3 linked regions of the Drosophila melanogaster genome follow. The gene in region 2 interacts genetically with the main gene of each other region. Each region holds a gene or a part of one and is shown on either strand. Other genes may lie near its edges.

Region 1 (4,221 bases), on a different chromosome or scaffold from region 2:
GACCTCCACTAGCGATTATGGAGCGTTCTATGACCAGTTTGACCGCGCCCACTGGCAGCACATCGTCCACAACAATGCCAGCCAGTTCCTGGAGCTCTGCAAGCAGCTGGATGTGCTTCCAGATGTCTGGTCACTTCACGAGTGGTCTGTCTGGCGCACGCCGTCCACGTTTAAGAAGCGCTTCGAGACGGCCTTCTTTATGACTGCCCTGGAACAGGAACCCAGGGTTCACATCGAACCTAATGAGGTCAAGGATTCTGCGGTAGGTGGGTGGGATATTATACGGCACAAGAGCGATACGCGAAACCTTTAAGTTGCATTTAATGTACTATCATTTATATTATTGTAGTGGCGTTCCCCATTGGACTACCTTCAAGCGAGCCTAAGAAAAGAACTCTGGCTGCCGCCTCCACAATTCTATGAACTTTCGCGCTGCCTAAACTTCTCCTCTTTAGATAACCTGCGTCAGTTTGCAGCAGAGCGTGAGGTCAAAGGCATTCAGCTGATTCATCCTGTAGTGCACAAGTGTACAAATGGATTAGTGCATCTCTTGCCAGGAGATGATGCTTACCCCGCCGATCCGGATGCAAGTAACGAAAAAATTGAGATCGATTTGTCAGTCGAGGAATTCCGTTCGAAGACGAATGCTAAATTACATCGATCGGAGCACTGGAACCAGCATCAGTCGCAGCTGATAATTAAGTTTGAGCGGGATGATGGTCAGGTTCATCCATTGGATCCAACAAAATTATAGAGGTAGAGCCGGTTTCCTCTATGTCAGGTGCATTTATCTAGTTTTATAAGTTTTCCAACAATTGATATATAAAGTTGGACATAACACTTTTTAGCAATATACAACTTATAAAGTTCGATTTCCTCCATTTACTCTTGTTTATTACATTGTGTTACAGAACGGTTTAATATACAATTATATAAGATAGATAGAATCGACATGCTGGGATTTGATATAGGAAATCAAGCAATTTCTGAATATGGCATAAAACATCTATCTTCAGTTTTCGTATTAATGCTACTGGCCCTTTCCATACCAAAGTTTGTATAGGTATTCAGCCTCTTCTTGGGATGCATAGACGTTCTCGTATCCTTGATTGCCCTCTGGTTTTGGCCTTAAAATGAAAAGAGTGGTTTTAGTGTGCACCCAGAAGTAGGGCATACAAACTTACTTGTAAATTGGTGCGTGTTCCGGGTGAGTCCAGATCTCGTGGGGCTTCTGGTGTGACGGATTTTTGTGCTTGCAGCCATCCAGCGTCCTTTCAATGTTCTTCTGATTGTTCAGTAGGGCAGCCAGTTTATGATCGACCTGTGAGGTGGCCACCTGCACTCCATGGACAGTGTGCTCGATGCTGTTGAGGCTCTCGGACTGAGTGCGGTTGAGAATGACCAGACCCCACTCCAATTGATTGACTTTGCGATTGGCACGATCTGCCAGAGCCTTAAGTTCGCCCAGATATCCCACTTGACCCACGATGTTGCGCTGCTGCTCCTGGAGGACCTTCGCTTTATTGTCCAAGCCGATGAGTTCCCCTATGACGGCCTGTGATAGCAGCTGCTGAATCTCCGACAGATGCGAGTTGACGGATGAGGCCACTTCATTTAGGTTCTGCTCGTATTTGTTCTGATTGGCAGCCACTTGTTCCAGGGCTTTCCTGATTTCTAGCTCCACTTTGGTAAGATTCCTAATAGAGTTTTCATTCTGACCCTGGATTGCGTTAACAATGGCTGTCAAATTTCCCACTCCAGAGGCCGTGGCTTGGAAGCTGCTTTGAACGTTCGATTCCAGCTTGGCTATGGCAACCTCCAATCCAGCAATGAGTTCGATCTCGTCGCGCTGATGCTTGAACTTCTCTTCAATGCCCTTCTGCACGTCCTTCACTTTCTGCAGCCCATGGTTTAGCTCCTCCGTACCTTTGATCAGCTCCTCCACCTCACTGCGGATCTCATGGATGGAGTCCAGATCCTCAGCTGCAGCCGCGCATAGGTAAATGCATATCGTTAGCAAAGTCAGTCGCACTCTCATGGTGTTTCTCTGATGGCCGCTCCCCGCTGAGTGTCTCTTTTCGATCCGAACCGCAACTTAAGTAGCCCAACTTAAGGTCCAAAACGTGTCTTAGACTGGGTTAAGTTCTATCAGTTCGGTCACCACCCACTTCTCTTCAGCGGGTGCAGGTGCAAATGCTGCTCCAATCTGTAATAGTGTGTTTACGAGAATTTCCCTACTACTAAGAAGATAGTCGCGAACAACTGTTTTATCATCTTGTAAAAAGAAAGAACTAAAGCGAATTATGTTGCATGTAGTCGTACTAAATAGTTATTGGTTCATCGACATCTTGGTAAAGTTAGGGAAAATCCGTGTAGTGTCACGTTTCAAAATTCTTCTTTGTTTCTAAACAGAACAGATTGACCCGGTTTTTTGTGTGCTACGGTAGTAATAACACCACTGAAAAACGTGCCCCAGCTGCTTCTTGTTCAAATTCATTCAGAAAATAGGTCTTCGAAGGTAATGATAACGTAACAAATGTTTTCGGGCATACTGTCTATCGTTTACAAGAAATAAAGTAATAAAGCGAACTAAAGTAATTTTGTAAAAGTTTAATAAGTCTATATTTTGTTTCCTATTTCGAAAACAGCAGTATAATTAATTATCCTTCATATTATCATGCCTATTCAAAAATTGGCCAAGATGCCTTTTGCAAATTTAAACAAACTTGGATCCTTTACTATTAACTTTTAAAAAAGCTTAAAATATTTTTAAAATTTGCTTCTATCAACAAACAATAGCATAGGTTAATAGTAAGGTGAATTTATTTACCTACAAAACATACAAAATAACAAAAATTTCTTCGTATATTTTGAATAGATTTTGAGAAAAGTTTTTGGAAATTGAATGTATATTTTCGCATACGATGCTAAAAGTTGATGCATATGATTTCCATGAAACTATAGCATTTTTTCTCAAAAGTTATTTATTAATTACTTGCTAGGAATATAATCAAAAATGTATTTCCTTTGCTTTTTTTTTATTTATTTATAAAACATAAAAATTGTACAAAGTAATGAATCTGAATTAAAAAAAAAGAGTTTGTTAAATGCTTTGAAAAGTTGTATCAGTTTCAGTAACAGTGGTAGTCCCAGTTAAATCTTCCTTTAGTATCCTTGGGGGAGGGAACTGTCTCCATACCAAATCCTGAAGGATTCTCCTGGCTGGATGGGCTGTGGCTTGTAGATCTCCTCATTGTAAGACTGTGGCTCGTGGTGGGGCTTATGAGGTTGCTCGTGGTTAGGTTTGGGACTGTAATCCACAGGAAGCTTGTAGGATTCAGGCTGGTCATGTGGCAAAGGAACATAGGATGCCGGAGTAGGGTGCTCTTTCTTGGGGCACGGCTTGGGCTTGGTAACGGAGGTGGGAACGTGGGCCGGAGCTGGGTTCCATGGCTGATGGTGGTGAACTGGAGCGGACTGGTATGGGGATCCGTACTCCCACGGCACCGTCTGCCGCCAGGACACGGCGCTGGAGCTCTGATAGTTCTTCTTTGGCTCGGGGGACTGGGCATAGGCGGTAGCTTTGTGGTTTCCAGAGTGCTCTCCTATGAACGACAAGCCATTAATTTGTGATCCTAATCTGGTGGCAATAAGGACCACTTACCGTGCTTGGGCTCCTCCTTGATGCTCCACACCTGTTCCAGATCCACTTGCTTGGGCTTAGGATGAGCATGCTGCGGCTCTGGGACCTCAGCTCCGTAGGTGGGAAGATAGGACTCGTCGTGATGGCCATATTGCGGATAGGGCTGTTGTCGGCTGCACTCTTCCAGACCCAGTTCGATGCGTTTCTGCGAGATGATCAGTTCGCGGAGAACAGCCTCCACTTTCCAGGAACTGTGGGGCTGCAAATGCTTGACTGCATCGATTAGGATGTCCAAGCGCTGCTCCTGAGTGCGATTCAGCTGCTTCAATTGATGCTCCAGCACGTTCAGCTTGAAGTTGGAGTTCTCGCTGAGCTCCTTGACTCCGGCCAAGTTCTTCAGCTCCACCTCCACGTTGATTTGGGACGTCTCCAAGCTATCGAAGGTACACTTTAGCCCATTCAATTGTGGCAACACCGTCCTAGTAATAAGTTTGGCCAGTCCGTCGATGCTGTTGTCAATGTTGCGGGAACTATGGAGCACGTGCCTCTGATAGGCATCCAGCTTGGCCTCCAGGACA
Region 2 (4,465 bases):
CAGCGCCACAGGCGGCAATAGATGACGTGCGGCAGACCCTTGCGCAGATGCTCGCCGGCGGGAGCTGGCTTGCTGCGCGGCACCGTCACGCACCGCGTCTGGCAGTTCTGTGTGGAGATCGCGCGCTCTAGCTCCTCCAGCTGCGAATTCTTCTTGATCTTCTTGACCAGATTCTTGACGGCCTTCTCTGACCACTTGCCCTCGACGCTGTTGTCCTCGTTGCCCTTTTTGAGTGCTAACAAACGCTTGACCACCTGCGGGGTGAATGGCAACATCTCAGGGTCTCAGGGGGGGGGAGTTCTCCTGGGCTTTCCTGGTGTCCTCCGCGTCCACTAGCTCCTCCTCCTCCAACTCTGCGTTGCCTTTTGAATACTGCTCTCACTGCTGGCGTTGGTCGAGTTTTAGTTTTAGTTTTATTTCGATCACCTTCTCTGGAATACTGGAACGGGACTGGGAAGTGGAACTGGAACAGTCCTAATGCTGCTGCTGCTTCCCTTGTGCACTTCTGATCTGGAATAGTGGAATGGGTTTAGTTGTGCGTGCTTTGGCAATTAAAACCTGATAATTGGCTTGCATGTGTGTGCGTGAGCGGCTGGATCTGATAAAAGCTCGACCCTGATGACGATGTTATTGTGATAATTGCCCGAGCGTGTGTATATGGGTAATCTATTAACTTTTGCCTTAGATTCACATTCAGATTTCTAAAGAAAGATTCAATTTAGATTTTCCATTTCCAAAACGACAATCGCAAATGCAATCGTCTGCGTGGGTTGTTGCTGTTCTTGCTATTTTCACTACCGTTGTTATTGCTATTCTTGTTGTTATTGTCTCCAACAAGGTCAAATGTCTGCGTTTGCAGACGCTTTTTTTTTGCTTTCGTTGAGTTACAGCAGCCACAGAAAACAGAAACAGAACCAGAATGTGTGTATATTTCTGTATGTATGTACACACGCCTAATCTGTGGGCAGTTTGGAATTTTCCATCTTATCGAAGGCGGGGCAATAAATTACCGAAAATAACAACAACAAAAAACATGAGCGTCGCCGGCAAGAGGGGTACGATCGAGTTAAACGCAAAAATAAATAAGTAATTAAATGTGCATTGGGGAAACAGCGAAAAGTGCACATACAGCCGCTTTGGAATGTATCCATGTATCTGTATCCGTATCTTCAACCCCCACCTAACACACACACACTTGCGCCGAGTGTCTCGCACATATAAATATTACCTGTAACGGTACCGGCAACTCGAGCTCCTCTGTCGTCCTGCTCTTGCTCCTTTCGCCTGCTCTTTCAACTTCTATCGTGCCCGCTCACTCGCACGCACACACTGCTTCCAGGTCCAGATGCACGGGAACGGTAACCAAAAGGCACCGGAACCGGGCGCACACATCCAGCCGAGCCGAGCCGAGCCGCGCCAACAGGAGGGGGTGGTGGTGGTGGTGCTGGTGGCGTTGATGGTTGTCTGGAACGGGGAGGGGGCCGTGTGGTGGGCACCGCTTCTTCAAATTTCTGTGTGTATATATCTTGTGTGCGCGCCAGAAAGTGACAGCTATACGCACACGCACACCAAAGCACAGGCACCGCACACCGACACGCAAGGAGCACACACACAGTTAAACGAGCGCACAGACACAAACACACAGAGGCACAACAAGAACAGAGAACTTATTTTGATAAATATTTAAACGCCTCCTTGTTGTTTGTTCTTATGTTATGCTCTTTGTGTTTATTTTCTATACGTTAGTAGTTCACTTTACGTTCGAATTGTGCTTTATGGGAGTAATATAATTTTTTGCGTTTCGCGATTTTGCTATTCGCAAAGTTGCAGTGTGCCCAGACTTGCTGCCCAACAATAGTGTGACCGACTGTGTAGTGTGACCGTTGGCTGAAACGCGAATAAGCTTCGACGCCACGGCTCAAAATAAAATAAGGCGTGAAAACATTCTAATGATCGTTTTGATAAATTCATATAAACAACATAAATATTGTTACATATTTTAATACTAAAATCATAAATATACTTGTTCGCAAATATATTTGCGCCACAAAAGAATGGGATTGGATGGCCAACTAATTAGTTACTAAATCGATGGGTGATATCAACTCCCTGCAAGAATCAAGTCAGACAGCTTTTATTTTTGAACGTAGTGGATTTTTTGTTTTTATTCACTTATTGGTAATTGTCAACTACCAGGATGAACTGGAGTCAAGTGCGGGAGAAGCGCCAGGACTTCTGCAGCGCCTGCTTGACGAGCTCATCCGGCGAGGGAGTATCAAAGCGGAATCTCTTCACCTGGATGCCGTAATCCTTATACTGGCACATTCGCAGGTGCTGCCGTTCCAGCGGAGTGACGGCGTACACTAGACGGGGCTTTCTCGGCTCCGGATAGCCCACCATTTCGTCCAGCATGAGCCCAATGGGTCCCGGTTGCTCCCGGTAGTCGCTATTCGCTGGTGACCGATCGGCCAGCACGTCCTCGTCGTAGTTGATGGATCTTTTGCTGGCCAAGAGAGTTACACCGGTCGTGCTCCTTCTTCCGCGATCGCAGGCAATGAAGGGTATGGCAAAAGGCTCACAATTGGTCAACTGGCGCGCCTTGCTGGCCAGCTCCTTGGGCGGTGCGCCTTTATGCCTGGCGATAATCGTGGACGTGAGGTCAATGAGTGGGGGTGCTGACGTGGCTGTATTCACCTTTGTCCCATCGCCTATATCCAGCTTCTTCATGCCGCTCTCCAACCTTGTCAGCAGGGGTATGTTCAGGGGCTCCTTGGGCATCGCGACCAGTTGGGGTAACACAAATCCCATTGATTGCGGCTTGTTTTCGCCCTCCGATCGCTGCCGTTGCCTCAACTGGATCTCATTGAGTAGCATTTGATTGTGTGCCTCCGCCTCTCGGCGGTATTCCTGCTCGGCAGCGGCATCCGCATTCGTCTGCAGCTGCAATTGTGGAATTCTAAGCTGTGGAATTTTGAGCTGCGGAATTGTGAATTTTGGCATCGCTTCTGGGCTCGTGCCACTTATACTGCTCAATTTGGACAAATCGCTGGTGGGCTGGAGACCAAACTCGGCCTGGATCGCCTGGTGGAGGGACTTCTTCGGATTGCTTGCCATTTTTCAAGGCCCAAACTCCAGCGACGATGACGAATTTGTTTATTTTTTTTTTTCTTTCTTCTTTTTTGCGTCTCTCCTTTGTTGTTTTCTTCGCTCGTTTGACGTTGTTTTGTGGCAAAGTTGTCAAATAGTTTCAACTGATTGACTGATTGTCAAACATGTTTTTATTATTCTCACATATTTTAGGATTCTCACTCTAAGCAGTTTCTTTAAAAATTTTCCGAATTTTATAAACCCGATATGCTTCCCTCAAACAATAACCTAAAATGCAGATAGCATAAATCGGCTGCACTTGACAACCCTGAACAACAGCTGTTTGGAGGGAAAATACAAAAATGGTTCGCCAAATGTTATATTTCCCTTATCAATATAGACCCAGTTTCTGTGGCGGAACTTTTATTTATAAATATGTTTTGGAACATTCATGTGTGAAAAAAAATGCAATTTGATCGCAGGTCCTATTGATTTTTTAAGGTATTAAGCATGATCCAGCCGGCAGATGGGGCCCTCCTCCACCATCTTTAGATCCACTTTGGGTCCGACCAAATCGCGAATGTTGTTGATGCCGTACTTGATCATGGTGGGTCGCTCCAGCGACAGACCCCAGGCGATTACATTCACGTTCTCCGGCAGTCCCATGGGCAGCAGCATCTCCGGCCGGAAGACGCCCGAGTTGCCCACCTCGATCCACTTGGCCAGGCCGGGGTGATAGCAGAAGATCTCCATGCTGGGCTCGGTGTACGGATTGTACGCCGGCTTGAATTCAAGCTGCGTGATGCCCAGCTTTCTGAAGAACTCGTACAGCGTGCCAATGAGATCGCCCAGCGTCAGACCAACATCTGCAATCACGCCCTCCACCTGATGGAACTCCGCCAGATGTGTGGCGTCCAGTGTTTCGTTGCGGAACACCTTGTCGATGCTGAAGTACTTGGCTGCTTTGAAGCCGCCCTCCTGGTTGGCCAGCTTGTACAGCATCCTCGCACTCACGGCCGTCGTATGCGTGCGCAGTAGATTCTTCTGCGCCTCCTCCAGCTTCCAGTCGTAGCCGTAACCCTTCGATCCATAGCCACCCACAGAGTGCACCTTCTTCACGCGCTCCAGATAGTCCTGCGGAAACTTGTGGCTTTTGGCCGGATGATTCACGAAGAAGGTGTCGTGGGCATCGCGAGCTGGATGCTGTTGCGGCTGATAGAGCGCATCGAAGTTCCAGAATGACGATTCCACATAGTTGTTCGTAGGCATCTCTGAGAAGCCCATCTCGAGGAATATCTGCCGGAACTCAGTGCGCACTTTGAGCAAGGGATGGAGATGTCCACGCGTTGGTGGTGCACCCAACGCATCAAAGTTATAG
Region 3 (4,465 bases), on a different chromosome or scaffold from region 2:
ATCGTTGGTATTAATAGGAATGTCCGACTTTTTAGCTTGATTTTTATTCAAATCTATCAGAAATTCATTAACAGTGTTAGCATCATCTCCCTGCATTTGGGAGGATGAACTTTCATCAAAAAAATCAGTCATTATGTGGTCGCCATAAGTGTCATTTATAGACAAATGAGATTCGTCAATGCTTTCCATGCGATTCCAAACAGTAGTTTTTGAAGATGCATTATAATCTCTATAAAAGTTATCTATTATATTTTGTGGTACTGAAATTGGTTTTGTTATATTGGGAAGTTTTTTTAAATTCAAGCGCATAAGTATGTGCATTTTAATCGATTCTATACTATCCACTTTGGCTTTCTCACGCAACTGACGCTGTAGCATACTTTCTATATTTATTAAGGTATTGCGATACAAAGATACACTTTGAACTCTTGATAAATCTCCATGCTCTGATACCTTTGCTAAAGGGGTACTTTTTTTCCCCGGTTTACTTTGTACTTTCATTTGGAATATTCCCATATTTTCATTTATTTTATCATCCGCCGATATTGAAGAAGAACCATTTTTTTCTGATAGTACTTTTGCACTATTGTTTGTTTCGTTACTCAACATAACCATTTCCGGACTATCGTTGTTGGAAGAATTACTGAAGCTTTTATTTTCTGGCTGAGCATAAGCATTGACTGCAGTCGATAAAATTAAGAGTACGGTGACCGTGACATATCGAGTTACACGGAAATTACCTCTCTTATGTCCAAGAATATTCATTCGCCCGATATTTATTTTTTTTGAGTCAAGATTAAATCTGTAAGAACCTGGAAACTGGATTTCGTTGGAGTTCACTTCTATGTGAACTGTTGTATCTGATGTGTTCTGTCGAGTTTTTTTCTTTAGGGTTCTATGATGCTGATCATGGGTTTTATATTTTCTCCAACCGCAGCATGAGTTGGCCAGCATGATTTTTGATCAAACCGTTGATGAATGCTGAAAAGGACTTGTATTTATAAATATACTTGATATATTTTAAAATAAGAAAAAATAAAAATAATAATTATTATTTATTTTTGGAGACAGCGGCTGGTGATCTTGTCATCCAATCAACTTGGCTCTTGTTGGCCTTATTTTACAATTTTTTTAAAAATCAAATCGCGAAATACAAGCTGTTAGATAATCCCCTGCTGTATTCGATTAAGTCGGATTCCCAAGGTAATACCTTAAACAGCTGTGCAGAGAAAAAAGAAGAGCGCACCCCTTTAAACCCTATTAAAGCATTAGCACGGAAGTCAATGATTCCCCTTCGCGAGTCAATACAAAAAAAAAAAAAAAAAAAAATTGAATAGCTTACGCCACTGACGATCTCTAACTTCAAAAATATTAAAATTATTGGCAAAATTTGGACAATATAATATTTCGGTTTTAAATTGATAGACTTTTGACGATCATATCATATAGCTAACTGTTGAAAAAAATTATAGACTCGTTGTTTTCAAATAAAAAGAGTTCTTCTTCAGTATGCACATTTTTTTGAAAATATATAATTTAGGTTTTTAATCGATCAAAATCAGACGACCATACACTTATATACCTGCCATAGGGAAAAATGGCTCTATGGCTATAAAGCTTAGGAAAAAACACTGACAATTGTAAAACCATTTTTCGTCACAAATCGGCACGGTGAGGCTGCGATCGTCACTTGATTTGTGTGCTCGTGAATATTCTAAAACTCGGAATAACGGAATAATAACCTTCAAAAACTTGTTTCAGGCTACGAAAAAACTTACTTTGAATATAGTAGAAGTATAAAATCCTGCAGCACCGGATATAATGATTTTTAAAAATTAAAAATCATATCTGCATTGTTTGATCCGCCTTGGAAGCGCGATGCGCCAGCAGAAAATGACCACCCTAATGTGCACACAGTCGTAAAAGTTAGTTCAAGCTACATATGTACATGCACATATGCAAAGCCCGTTCATAAACGTTTCACATGAGTCCTCTTTATGACCACTATTGTATTCAATTAAAACCATTTATAAACATAATAAATTATTGTGCTCTTGAACTTCAGTTCATCGCTGAAAGTGCATTATTCCCCTTTTACAAGCAGAACAACGTAAATGAGATATATCATATGTATGTACATACGTAAATTATACATACATACAGAATAAATAGCATGCATATAAGCACATATGTACATTTTTAAAGCTGTGTATGTACAAAGTTATGTACATTTAGCGATAACAAACTTTTTAAACACCTACCAATTGTACATAAGTAGATATATACTTATCTATCGGTATTTATTTTATTTTTATACACTTGTACAACCAAAATCTATTTTGAAACTAGGCAATTGTGTGTTTTAATATATGTATAGTATATATTATTAAATGTTTTATATTGAAGTAACAGTGGGCCTACGGTTTCGAACATTATTCTTTTGCAATCCGCTTTTGTTAAATTTATTATTCATTGTCCAAAAACACATAGTTTGAAAAAATTGTGTATTCAATTGCGCACTAAATAATAATAATTTATTTCTCATAGAGAACCAATATTTGAAAACCCGCAGAGATTCTGTACTGCTGTGCGATTGAGCGACGAAGTAGAACTGAAAGCAGCTGATCAGATGCGATCGGATACATACGGCTCACCGGCAATTTCGTTTTAGTTGGCATAACAGGCCGCTTTTAAAAATGTATCTGCTGAAACGCATTGCAAGAGTAAACTTTAATTCATATTAACATTTTTATCGAGCAAAATAGCATTATATTAAAATGAAATATTTATTGAATATACTCCTACTTTTTTTTTTACAATTCTAGAAAACATTTTATTTATATTTCCACTGTCGCTAATAATCACTTTCTATTGTAAATCAATTTAATCCTTAAGCCGTTTTAACTCTTATAAGTTATGAGTGTAGACATTTTTACATTTCAAAGATTTCAAATAGACCCGAAGAAACTATATAAGATATATTTTTATTAGCAGGATTTGATTTGTCTCTATAATTTTGGTTCCCTAGTTGTTTTTTTTTATTACACAAAATTGAGTGCTATTATACAACAAAAATTACATGCGTATTAATTTGTACTACTGGAATGACTATATTGATACAAAGGAATTTTTAAAATTTAACCGAAGTTCCGCATTCTTGTCCTAACATTTCGTGTTTTAAATTAACGGCAAAAATGTCGTTACTCTGGAATTAATAAAAAGTACCCAACGCACTTACATAAGTATGCAAAAATAATTTTATGTGTATAAAAGAAACTTATATTAAATCAAGTACATATTCGTGCGGGTCCCCTTTGTTCCGCAGTCTTCTTATATAATTATTGCCCATTAATATGGTTGTGTAAGAAGGCAATCTGGGAACTCCATAAAAAGGGTAGGGACAATTACCGCGATGTCTAGTGTTTTCCAGATTAGCTGTCGATATATCGACGCCCGTACAGATGTTTAAGCCTTTCCACACATACATTTATGAGTTTCCTATCGATATGGAAGAAAACGATAGGTGTTCACACTGTACTAACTTATTTTTATTGCTTTGTATCAGCAATTCTGTTGTTTTACTTAAGAATAGCAATTCAAATGGAGAAGACTTCTTTTATGTATCAACAAAGTAACTGATAAGAGATTATTTATTGGATGGATTGTAAGCTACTTATTTTTTCCATTGTGGTTAACAATTTACGATTTTTTTTTGGTTATAATAAAGATTTAAATAAAATAATTTCAACAAGTGCGTCAATTTTCCTTCATCTACGCACATATAGATGGTAATCGTGCGATAAACCTAATATTACGAAAATGGCGATCACGCATTCAACCGATAAATACAGAACTAAAATACTTCCTGATCAAAAACAAGAATTTATAATTTTTTTTCTATTATTTCCACTACGTTGCAATTTTCTGACAGAAATCACTATACGCTCTGCAATGGTTTAACAATAGGAAACGCTTTAGTTGGCTTTCAAATATTTTTCACAACATTTTCAACGAGTAGATTAGTTGAACTATTAATAGCTCATTAATGGACCGATTCTTTAGGTCTGCTAAATTATCATTCTTATATCTGTGAATTTATTTATTTACTGCATCGAATTTTTGAAAATAACGTATTCTCTACGCAATCACTGGTATTGGGTTGCCATATCGATTTCTATATATGTTAAGAGTTGCCGTTTGTATTTTTACACGCCGAGAGTTGCCATCCTGATACGAGCAGATGCGTGCTGAAGTCCAATCGATACTACAAAATACCAAAATACACAGAAAATATAAACAATATTGCATAAACAATATTGTACGAACGTTCGTTTTAGTGTTTAATCACATACTGTTTTTCCCCCATCCGAAAATCGAAGAAAATGTGTGACAATCAATATCTAATAAAAGAATCAGGATACATGTGCGACCATTCGTAATATAAATATGTATGTATATTTTGTAA

What was found.
Region 1: of Smox (region 2) and CG13083, changing one suppresses a phenotype caused by changing the other (phenotypic suppression), as found in Drosophila melanogaster (one study listed by BioGRID).
Region 3: of Smox (region 2) and myo, changing one suppresses a phenotype caused by changing the other (phenotypic suppression), as found in Drosophila melanogaster (2 studies listed by BioGRID).

The regions. Positions count from the first base shown.
Region 1 is NT_033779.5:19,485,341-19,489,561, reverse strand, and holds CG13083 (uncharacterized protein), read right to left. Parts: upstream 2,073-4,221; 5' UTR 2,039-2,072; coding exon 1,185-2,038; intron 1,128-1,184; coding exon 1,031-1,127; 3' UTR 871-1,030; downstream 1-870. Other genes in the region: CG10194 (uncharacterized protein), read left to right, coding at 1-262, 350-754; CG13084 (uncharacterized protein), read right to left, coding at 3,166-3,605, 3,665-4,221.
Region 2 is NC_004354.4:8,140,408-8,144,872, forward strand, and holds the start of Smox (smad on X), read right to left. Parts: upstream 1,873-4,465; 5' UTR 1,229-1,872; intron 511-1,228; 5' UTR 276-510; coding exon 1-275. Other genes in the region: CG17982 (uncharacterized protein), read right to left, coding at 2,209-3,114; alpha-PheRS (Phenylalanyl-tRNA synthetase, alpha-subunit), read right to left, coding at 3,592-4,465.
Region 3 is NC_004353.4:693,436-697,900, forward strand, and holds the start of myo (myoglianin), read right to left. Parts: upstream 2,621-4,465; 5' UTR 2,262-2,620; exon of another isoform or gene 1,903-2,261; 5' UTR 1,779-1,902; intron 982-1,778; 5' UTR 955-981; coding exon 1-954.